2 linked regions of the Drosophila melanogaster genome follow. The gene in region 2 interacts genetically with the main gene of each other region. Each region holds a gene or a part of one and is shown on either strand. Other genes may lie near its edges.

Region 1 (4,866 bases), on a different chromosome or scaffold from region 2:
AAACGTTGAAGAGGAATTTTAAAAGACCTCAAATTAATCACTTCTATGTGGTGCTCATGCCCCCCCCGCCCCAATTCCAAAGCCCCTTCATCTCAATAGCTACACTCAAACCCAATCAATTTCCAATTATCCAAGGCCCCGTACGAAATTGTTCATGTTCAACCAATTTCGAAATGGTTTGCTTCGGTTCGGTTCTTAACCCATGCTTACCCTCATTAACATGTCCTGATCGGGGCAGCGCTTCCTTTGGTGGTGCGGCTGCTGTTGTGGTTGTGAAATTATTCATCTCTCTCCTCCTCTCGCCACCCTTCTCTTTCTAACAGGCTCTGGCTGTCTCTTTCGGTGGCTCAAATCTCTATAGAATATCTGTATCTCGTTCTAAAACAGGTGTTTAAATTGGGTAGCTCAAGGACGCGCCTTCCACTCCACTGATTTTTAATTTATGTTGGTTTACTTGTTGAAGCGGGCTGGCAAAATAGATACATAGATGCGGCGATACAGAGCGTGAGTAAACTATATTTTCATCTAATTGCGTCGCTCTCGGTGCAACTATTTCACTTTCACACTTCCACACGAGATATAATGCTTATAATTCCACAATTTCCACCATCAACACGCGCGCAACAACGACAGCTGCAATTCAAAATTCGATTTGATTTAGGTATTGTATCCCAAAGATACGCAACGAACCGGCGGCCGTCGTTCCACGAAAGCAGCAAAACAGCTCATTCAACAGCGAAAGCCGCTCAGCGAATGGATGTTGTTTGACTTGGCCATACAGTCCAGCTAACTGGAAGACACAATAATACTGCAAGCGGCGCTGGAACTGGAAGCCGATACAAATGTATCTCGAAAGCGGCACTGCAATGGAAGAGAGAATAAGAGAGAGGAGAGAGAATAACTCAAAACAGTGCTGCCAAGTTTCAAAAAGATTTCAAATCTAAATACAAAAAGTTATAATTTTACTATTGATTTATAAATTCATTAAACGGTATATATGTACATATGGTTTTTTATTATTATTTAATTTTCCAAAATGAGTTGGGAGCAACGAATTTCAGTATTTCTTTTATTTATGTATATGGCATTTGCTGTTTAGTAAAGACATACACCATTGCGTTAGCTAAGCGAGGTTTCAATCCTCAACAAATGCTACACTTAAAAAATTCCAAAATCATATTTAATTAGATAAAAATTGTGTAGCTAGAAACTTGTTTATAAATATCACGACTGCTAGTTAGTTGTGAAAGTAAGGTATTATAATTAAAATTTAAATAATAGGTAATGTTGTAAAAAAAACTTTAAACGTATAGTTCATATTGGGATACTGGGAATTTCAATAAAAGTTATCTTAAACATATTGTCGTTTATTCATATAAAACTTTATTATTATTTTAATTGATAACTTGGGTAATAAAGTGAGTGAGCAAGTAGTCTCTATAAAATACTTCTTGAGGCACTACCTTCTCGTTGTTATTTATTTTTATAAGTCAAATCGCAGCCGAAATTTAAGAAACTGAAGCCGGGTTCAAAGTATGCCGAAGTCGGGAGTATTTCACTCATAGCGCAAAATAAACAGTCGATCGCAGACACACAAATACTTGTATTACTTGCCACAGCATAGATATACAGATACTTTTGCATCTACAATCGACGTGAAAAAGGTAAACAAAAGTCAAGTCACGGTGCGAATGAGTGTGTATTTGAGATAGATGCCTCGGTGCGAGTGCTGAGTTGTTGGTAACAGCGAGCGATCGCGGCATTCCAGTCAGTAACGAGTTGAATGTGGCTCAAAACGCGTCGCTGAACGATGGCTAAAAACGTTTAAAGTTAAAAAGCGTATTAAATCATATAATATATAATATATTGGTGTAAAAAATACAGAATTAAACCTAATAATTAAGTGTCCGGACATCCCCTAGAAAAATGTGTGAAAATGTTGAGAAACTAACCGGAATACTATGAAAACTGCTGTAAAACTTGGCTAAGATAAACTCGTTTGCACCAATACACATGTGATTATACGTATAAGGGCAACGCAAAATACTCAGACTCCAGAAGCCAGCAATTAAAAAAGAAGTTAGTCAGTTAGCGTCTGGGCCGCGTTACTGGTGTATGAATCATACTTTGGATACGTTTAAAAATAACAAAACAAAAACCTTAAAACGAGGAAAAAGTTGTAACAGTGCTAATGTAAACTTCGATCAAACTTAGCGGAACGAGCTCGCTACAAAACCAAATACCCATAACAAGTAAATTAAGCACACATTATAAAATACCTCAAATGTCGGTCAGGAAGTTGAGTGCCCTATCGCTCTCCATTGGTGGAGTTCCGTTGATTCCAAGTGTTTCCTTGGTAGCTGCGGCCAATGGAGAGAGTAGGGATTGCCATGGCACGATCTGTCATCCGGTCAATGAATTTTGCTATGTTGCAACGGAGAGATGTCATCCGTGCATCGAGGTCTGCAATAATCAAACCCACAACTACGATGCGTTTCTGTGCGCCAAGGAATGTTCAGGCAAGTAGAATTCAAAGATTTCCAAAAGATTACCTCAGATTAACTCACGATCCATAGGGTAATTTGGCGGGTTCTATGCAAGTTCAGGTTTTTCCAGCTGGACTTAATTGTATTTCAATTACAGTTGCTTCAGCGGGTGATTAACTCATCACCCATGAGTTGACTAAAATAGGGGGTATTTTAAAGATTTAAAGAATGTACATTTTTATAATAAAAATGATTTGTTGAAACTAGCTTTATAATAATTTTTTTAGTGTAAAAGATTTGTAAAAGTTGTAATGGCAAGATAAGGCCAGTTGCATTTGCAATTTTTATCTGACTATGTACAACGAGTTATCAAAAACGTTCCCGTGTTTTATCAATTATTATTTACTTAAAACGATAATAGTAGCGATATTATTTAATTTCTTTATCAACCCACAGCTTACAAGACATTTGAGCCGTTAAAAGCCGAGATGCTGGACATCCAGAATACCCAGCAGCTGATCCTCTTGCTGCTGACTATCCTTCTCGTCCTGATTGCGCTTCGTTGCGCGTTTCAGTTCCTTCGATGGCTGATAGGCAATCGGTGCTTCCAGAAGCTGATGCGCCGTCTCCAATCGAAGGCCTACCCTCATCCGGCAACTGCAAATGGAAAGGATCTTAATGCTACCACCATACAGAATCTGAATGCCATTAACCATCCCGGCAGCGACCTTGAGCGGGCACAATCACAGATCTACAGTGTGGCAGGTAAGTGTAAGGATCTACCTGTCCGGGTTTTTCCAATAACACTTCCCAATGTACACATTATACCTGCAATGATTTATTACAGGTGCTGCCGAGGGTTCCGTTGTGACTATGACAACGCCGGTGAGCACTCGCTATCCGGCGGAAAACAGTACCACGCCCACAACGGTTATGACGGAGATCGGATACGGATACGATAATCAGGCCATGGTCGTAACGCCGGTTTCCGAGAAACCCTCAGCAGCGACGATTCCCGTCGCTTTCTAAGGCCATACAAGTACTTGAAAACTCTTACTTCTAAATCAGTCCAGCGAAAGCAAAATGTGCACCACATTAAAACTAGTGATATTTTTCATAGTTATTAAGCAAGAAGTCTTCTATCAATATGGAATATATACGCATATCTGTAGAATATAAACCTTAATTAATAGGTTTATATATGTTGGGACATATTTTTGATAACCCAATGTGGCCCTGAAAACTTATATTCGATCTGTATGAAATTATATGTAAAGGAACTTTTTTCTCTTTACTTTAATATTTTCCTTAAAGCAACGAAAATACTTACAACATCACAACTATGAACGAAGAGACATATTTATAACTGTTAAGAAATATATTTATAATGTTCAATTTATTATCATGTTAAGTTTTTTATGTGGAAAAGTTTTGTAAATGGTAATATGGGGGAAAACCAATTCATTCGCAATCACCACAAACGTTTCTCAACACACTTCCATCCGGTTAAAATAATTACGAATGCGAAATAAATCTTCCTGAAAATTTTTTGAGTTTTGAAATAAGACACGGGAACTACGCTTAAAAGTATTGTCATTTATTGTAAAAAGTATTCCACGTTGGCAAACACAATTCTAAGGCTAAGTTAAGTTGGCTTTTTGAGTATAACTCTTGTTCTCGTCCTTAATGCTAATCGTTTGTATATGACACGCCAGATATGTATGTGTGCTTGTTTCCAAACTATAATTAATGTTTTCGTATATAAAATGCTTCACTTTTCCTAACGAATCTCATAAATCAGCCTTAAACGTAAGCTTATATTTAAATAAATAACCTAGGACTAATTCCGATCGAATTGGAAACGCTTGTATTGATCCCTTTATTGCAGAACATCCTTCTAAACCTTACACCCAATACTGATTCCGCCTAAGTAGTGGATTTGTTGGCGGGGCCGAGGGCGGTGAGCTGACCGATCCGGAAATACTTTGTGGCACAGAGGCATAGCCAGCAAAATCATTCGCCATATCGCAGGACGAACTCCAGGCGTCGTGCTCCATGTGATAAGGATTATATCTCTGCGGCAGCATCATTTGCTGCGGATCGCACTGATCGTCCGTCTCCTCCTCATCGGGATCGTAGTCGGGATACTCATGTTTGTACGACTCCACGGGTATTATCTTGCAATGGGGAATATTGCTGAAACCCGGTAACGGTGTTGAATTTCCTGTGGCCGGCACGGAATCCGCCTCGGAACTTGCGTAATGGTGGCCATGATGATGGTGCAGATGGTGTTGCGGACTCACAGAAGTCAAGTCTGGTGGACACGGTAGCGCCGGCGGCTGATCCTTGGATATATCTGCCTTGTGCTTTCTCAGTTTCC
Region 2 (4,840 bases):
ATGGTAACTTCGCCAGCAATGCCCTCCAGTTCGTTCTGATGTTTGTTACCAGCGTCTGGCTATTTAACATTATAAACCTTCTCGTTGGAATTAGGTGAGTACGAGCGCTAAAACGTAATTTATTGCAAAAGTTTTTGATTGTCATATGAATACAGTGTTGGCGCGGTGTCAGCAGCACTCTATGCATATCTAAGTGAATTCAATATACCACGACATCGCGCCGTGGCAATTAACTATTCGACGATGTTCGTCAGTGTTACGGCCATATATGTTCCAGGTATGCATGATTACTTATGGATGCAATTGATTTACTAACTAACTTCTTTTGAACTTACAGCAACTGCTTGGTTGGTACTTTCCTCGAACTGGGCCATCACCATGGGAGATTTTGTGTTTAGGCCATGGCGTTTGCTATTGCTAGTTAGTCTGCTACCAGGATTTATTGGCGGCTTGATATTACTCTATTATCCTGAAAGCCCCAAGTTCCTGCTGTCCCAAGAAAAGAACAACGAAGCCATAGAAGCTGTGGCTTGGATCAGTAAATTTAACAGAGGAAAATCCATACAACAAGTTTTGAGCTGCGATGAATTTACACTGAAGTCCGAGGATCCAGTGGGCGAAAACTTGTTGGGCGAAAGCCAGGGATGTGGTATATTATCCAAAATTTGCAGGGCCACTATTCCACTTTTCCACAAGCCACATGGATTTAATTTTATTCTTTGCAACTTGGCATTATTCGGAATGTTTTTCAGGTAATCTTAAATGGTGTTAGACCTTAATAGTTCTTTAATAAATAATCTTTTACATAATCTTTTACATAGTTCAAACGGCATGCAGCTTTGGTTTCCCGAAATTGTTAATCGGTCATCAGGTGCCGAAAATAACTCTTCAACAGTATGCGAAATTCTCAGCGTACCCGTAGAACAACCCAATGTTACAGAAACTTTGGTAATTATGAACATATTTTAAAATTACGTAACCAATCTTAATACTTAATTTTAATTTTAGGACTGCACCGATCCTATTAGTAGCAAAACCTATATTGACAACCTCGTTGTAGGTTTCGCATTTCTGATTGGATTCTCGATTCAAGGACTAATACTTAATCCTTTGGGCCGTAAAAACGTACTTTTAGCTGCTCTGGCAGTTGCAACTTTAAGTGGAGTCCTATTGCATTTTATGGAAAGTCCAACAGGAGTCCTTGTTCTCTTTTGCCTTTACATTCTTCTGCCTGGGCTTTCGATTTCTATTATGATTGGCGCCATTGTTGATTTGGTCCCTACACATTTGAGGTAAATGATCTACACTTCTATTAATATTGAAATAATTATTCACTTTTCCGATCAGATCCAAGGCAGTTAGCTTCTGCATGTCACTGGGAAGACTTGGGATCATTGCAGCTACAAACTTGATGGGAGTTATGCTGCAGCCTTATTGCAACACCACTTTTGCTATGTTTACGTGCACGTTAATTGGTAAGTATTGTAATTCTACCAATGGAAGAACTTTAACTACCTCAAGTTTCTTTCATTTCAGTGTGCATTGTTATCGTTCATTACCTACCAATTCGGAACTCAGCTTAATGAATTGTTCATTTTTGTATTTGTATATTTTTCTTCTTTAATGTTTCTTATTAAATTTTTACACCAATATTAAAACTGTTGTCTTTTTAAATTACAATGGTGACACACATCCAGTTCAAAAAGCCGTTACTATACTCACGTCTACACATATATCGATAACAAATCTGAGTTGGTGTATAGGGCACATTACTAGGGACAAGAATACCCCAACTGAAATGCAGGTTTCCACGATAGCTTTGATGCAATCGATAACCTGCGCCACATAATATTGATAATATACAATACTTTGCAACTTTTCCGCCGGTAATTTTCTCAGAAAGTCCGGATTATGGCGCCTCCGGCTGCTCGCGCTCGCTACATAGCCAACAAGGCGGACAACCAGATTCTCTCAAAGAAACCGCCCAAAAGACCGGGCCTAAATGGCAACAACAAGACGAAGGAAGCCACACCGGCCGGCAAAAAAAAGGATAAGGATGCTAAAAAGCGGTAAGTATTGGCCTATGTACCCTGACTCCCACTAAACGCCGTTACTTCTCACCCGCAGCAACCAACCCACAAGTGGTGGTCAAGAGAAGGGGCTTCCCAACCCCATAATGCCCAGTGTTCAGACCGCCTTCAAGACCTTCGTGAGCGCCCGGTTGTGCAGCGCCATTTGGGCGTACATAGCCGACTGCGACGAGACGTTCAACTACTGGGAGCCGCTGCACTACATCATTAATGGCCATGGACTCCAGACGTGGGAGTACAGCCCGCAGTTTGGACTCCGATCGTACACCTACCTATTGCTGCAGGGCGTGCCCGGATACTTTTACCAAAAGTTGTTCAATCCCAGTCCCATACTCATCTTCTACATGGTGCGATGTATGTTGGGTTTCGGTTGTGCCGTAATGGAGCGATATATGTACAAGTAAGCATGGCATTGGTACTAAATCCTGTTCAAAACTAACTAAACTTTATTTAGGTCGATTTGTCAAGAGTTTGGAATTCACATCGGTCGTCTGTGGCTGATATTCCAGCTCTTCAGTGTGGGCATGTTTGTGTCTAGCACCGCTCTACTGCCATCCTCCTTTTCCATGTACTTTGGCTGTGCTGCCCTGGCCGCGTGGTGGCAACAAAATTACTGTTTTGCCATATTCCTGACAGCAATATCCGCTTTGCTTGGTTGGCCATTTGCTGCGCTTATTGGCATACCGCTGGTGCTGGAGATGCTTTTAAGGCAGCGTGATTGGAAGACCTTTGTTCAGTGGACACTGATATCGGGCGCCACGGTTGCCATTCCCATGATTGCAATTGATACCAGCTATTTTGGCAAACTGACATTTGCTCCTCTAAATATTGTTTGGTACAATGTGTTCACCAGTCACGGACCAAACATATTTGGTACGGAACCACTCAGTTACTACATTATCAATGGTTTCCTTAACTTTAATATTATTTGGGTGAGCTATTGTATCTATTACACTCTTAAATTTATGATAACTTTTTCCCTTATAGCTCCTGGCACTTCAACTACCCATAATGCTGGTCATAGACTATTTGATTGTGCCAGCCAAATCAAAGTCGACGTTAAATTTCCCCCACTACATCTCGCTGGCTCCCCTGTACCTGTGGCTTCTCGTCTTTTTTGCCCAACCGCACAAGGAAGAGCGCTTTCTGTTTCCCATATATCCTTTAATCTCGCTTTGCGGAGCCATCACTGTGGATGTGTATCAGCGCATATTCTTCCGTATGAAATCGGTGGTCTTCAAAATTAAGGCGGGAGTTCATTATCTGGACCACAGCATGTTTATTGCCATCTTGGTAATGGTGACCAGCACATTGTTGGGACTTTCCAGGGTGTTTGCCCTGTATAGGAACTACCATGCTCCGATGGATTTGATGCTGGAACTGAACCAGTTTAAGGCGACACCGCAGTACGACCCGGATGTAATATACAACGTGTGTATTGGCAAAGATTGGCATCGATATCCGGGCAGCTTCTTCTTTCCCGCCAAAAACTTCCGGCTGCGTTTTCTGAAATCCGAATTCCGAGGCATGCTGCCCGCGTACTATGACGAAGGTCAAAATGCTACTAAGGTAGTGCAACCGTATTTTAACGATCTCAACCAGGAAAATGAGCACATGTACTTTGACTACGACCGTTGCGATTTCCTCGTCGACTTTGATGAAGGCAAGTATACGGCTCTGGAACCCAATTATTCAAAACGATCCAAAGATTGGTCGGTGATGAAGAGTCTGCCCTTCCTCATTCCGGAGAAGTCGCACAAAGTGTTACGTGCCTTCTATGTGCCATTCCTGACCGACAATCACATTCAGTACGGAGACTTTAATCTGCTCAAGCGAAAGACGAAACGAAATGGCAGGTAAAGGCAGGCCCAGATAGAAAGAGTCTGGATTCATGCCACAAAAACTCCAATGCATATGGGGTGGCTCTCTTATTCTTTCAAAACAAAAAAAACGCATTAATCTTAAAGTAATGCCAAGCAAATATGCTTAAGAAACTATAGCTTCAATTCATATTGAATTTATAGTGATTTCCAAGTATCTTACACCCCTGAGAGCCTCTGTCTGTATTCCAAATAATCTTTCGTACCCAGCATTGAATTTGTAATATCCTAATATCTGTTCTAAGTCAGTGAAGCGTTTTTAATTCACGTTATTTTCGTTTTGTCCATGCCAAAGTTGTGAAGATCACCAGAATCGAAGTAGAACATAAGCGTCAAGAATATAAACAACGAGATTCGTATGGTAAACTGTTTGCATGGAAGGGGCCAACGTGATTGAATAGTTGAAAACTTTATTGGACGGATCCTCTTACAATCTGGGAAGCAAAACTTTACAATGGAAATCGCTTGGACTTAGCCTAGATCTGGTGCTGGGTCTGTTTACAATGCTATATTTGGTCTACTCAATGTACATACACGTGTGCGGGGCCTAAACCTAATCCTAAACTGACTTAGCAGCGATATTTACAAGCTCTCCGGGAGTAGCTGCCTCCCCTCCTGCGCTCTAGAAGTAGACCGTCAAGTTGTTCTCAGAGGAACCCATGGCATCGGTGGCGGATAGAAGATTGGAGCCCGCGTTGGCGGGTGTGGTACTGATGGTGGTAACCCCACCGCTTGCCACTCCCGTGGCTGCCACTTTCCGATTGTTGTTCTCCGTCTGCAGTGAGTCGTGCTCGATCTCATCCTCCTCGAAGAGCTGGCCATTGGCGGAGGCGCGCGAAACTATGCCTGGCAAGAAGACTTTTAATAGTG

The links. A genetic interaction does not mean that the proteins touch.
Region 1: of Alg9 (region 2) and grnd, changing one suppresses a phenotype caused by changing the other (phenotypic suppression), as found in Drosophila melanogaster (one study listed by BioGRID).

Annotation. Positions count from the first base shown.
Region 1 is NT_033779.5:18,483,684-18,488,549, forward strand, and holds grnd (grindelwald), read left to right. Parts: upstream 1-1,733; 5' UTR 1,734-2,284; coding exon 2,285-2,519; intron 2,520-2,942; coding exon 2,943-3,251; intron 3,252-3,333; coding exon 3,334-3,515; 3' UTR 3,516-4,338; downstream 4,339-4,866. Other genes in the region: CG10283 (uncharacterized protein), read right to left, coding at 211-286; kon (kon-tiki), read right to left, coding at 4,391-4,866. UniProt on the Drosophila melanogaster protein: Acts as a receptor for TNF-cytokine egr. Plays a role in activation of JNK signaling and is required for egr-induced apoptosis, including in wing imaginal discs during development. May also play an egr-independent role in cell proliferation.
Region 2 is NT_033777.3:25,219,791-25,224,630, forward strand, and holds Alg9 (ALG9, alpha-1,2-mannosyltransferase), read left to right. Parts: upstream 1-1,798; 5' UTR 1,799-1,911; coding exon 1,912-2,069; intron 2,070-2,127; coding exon 2,128-2,490; intron 2,491-2,544; coding exon 2,545-3,022; intron 3,023-3,077; coding exon 3,078-3,950; 3' UTR 3,951-4,328; downstream 4,329-4,840. Other genes in the region: CG31103 (uncharacterized protein), read left to right, coding at 1-94, 156-277, 338-752, 822-948, 1,009-1,292, 1,348-1,475, 1,537-1,583; Cad96Cb (cadherin 96Cb), read right to left, coding at 4,593-4,828. UniProt on the Drosophila melanogaster protein: Probable alpha-1,2-mannosyltransferase involved in the N-glycosylation pathway. Probably involved in glycosylation of the TNF receptor grnd, regulating its ligand affinity. Required for normal epithelial growth and architecture.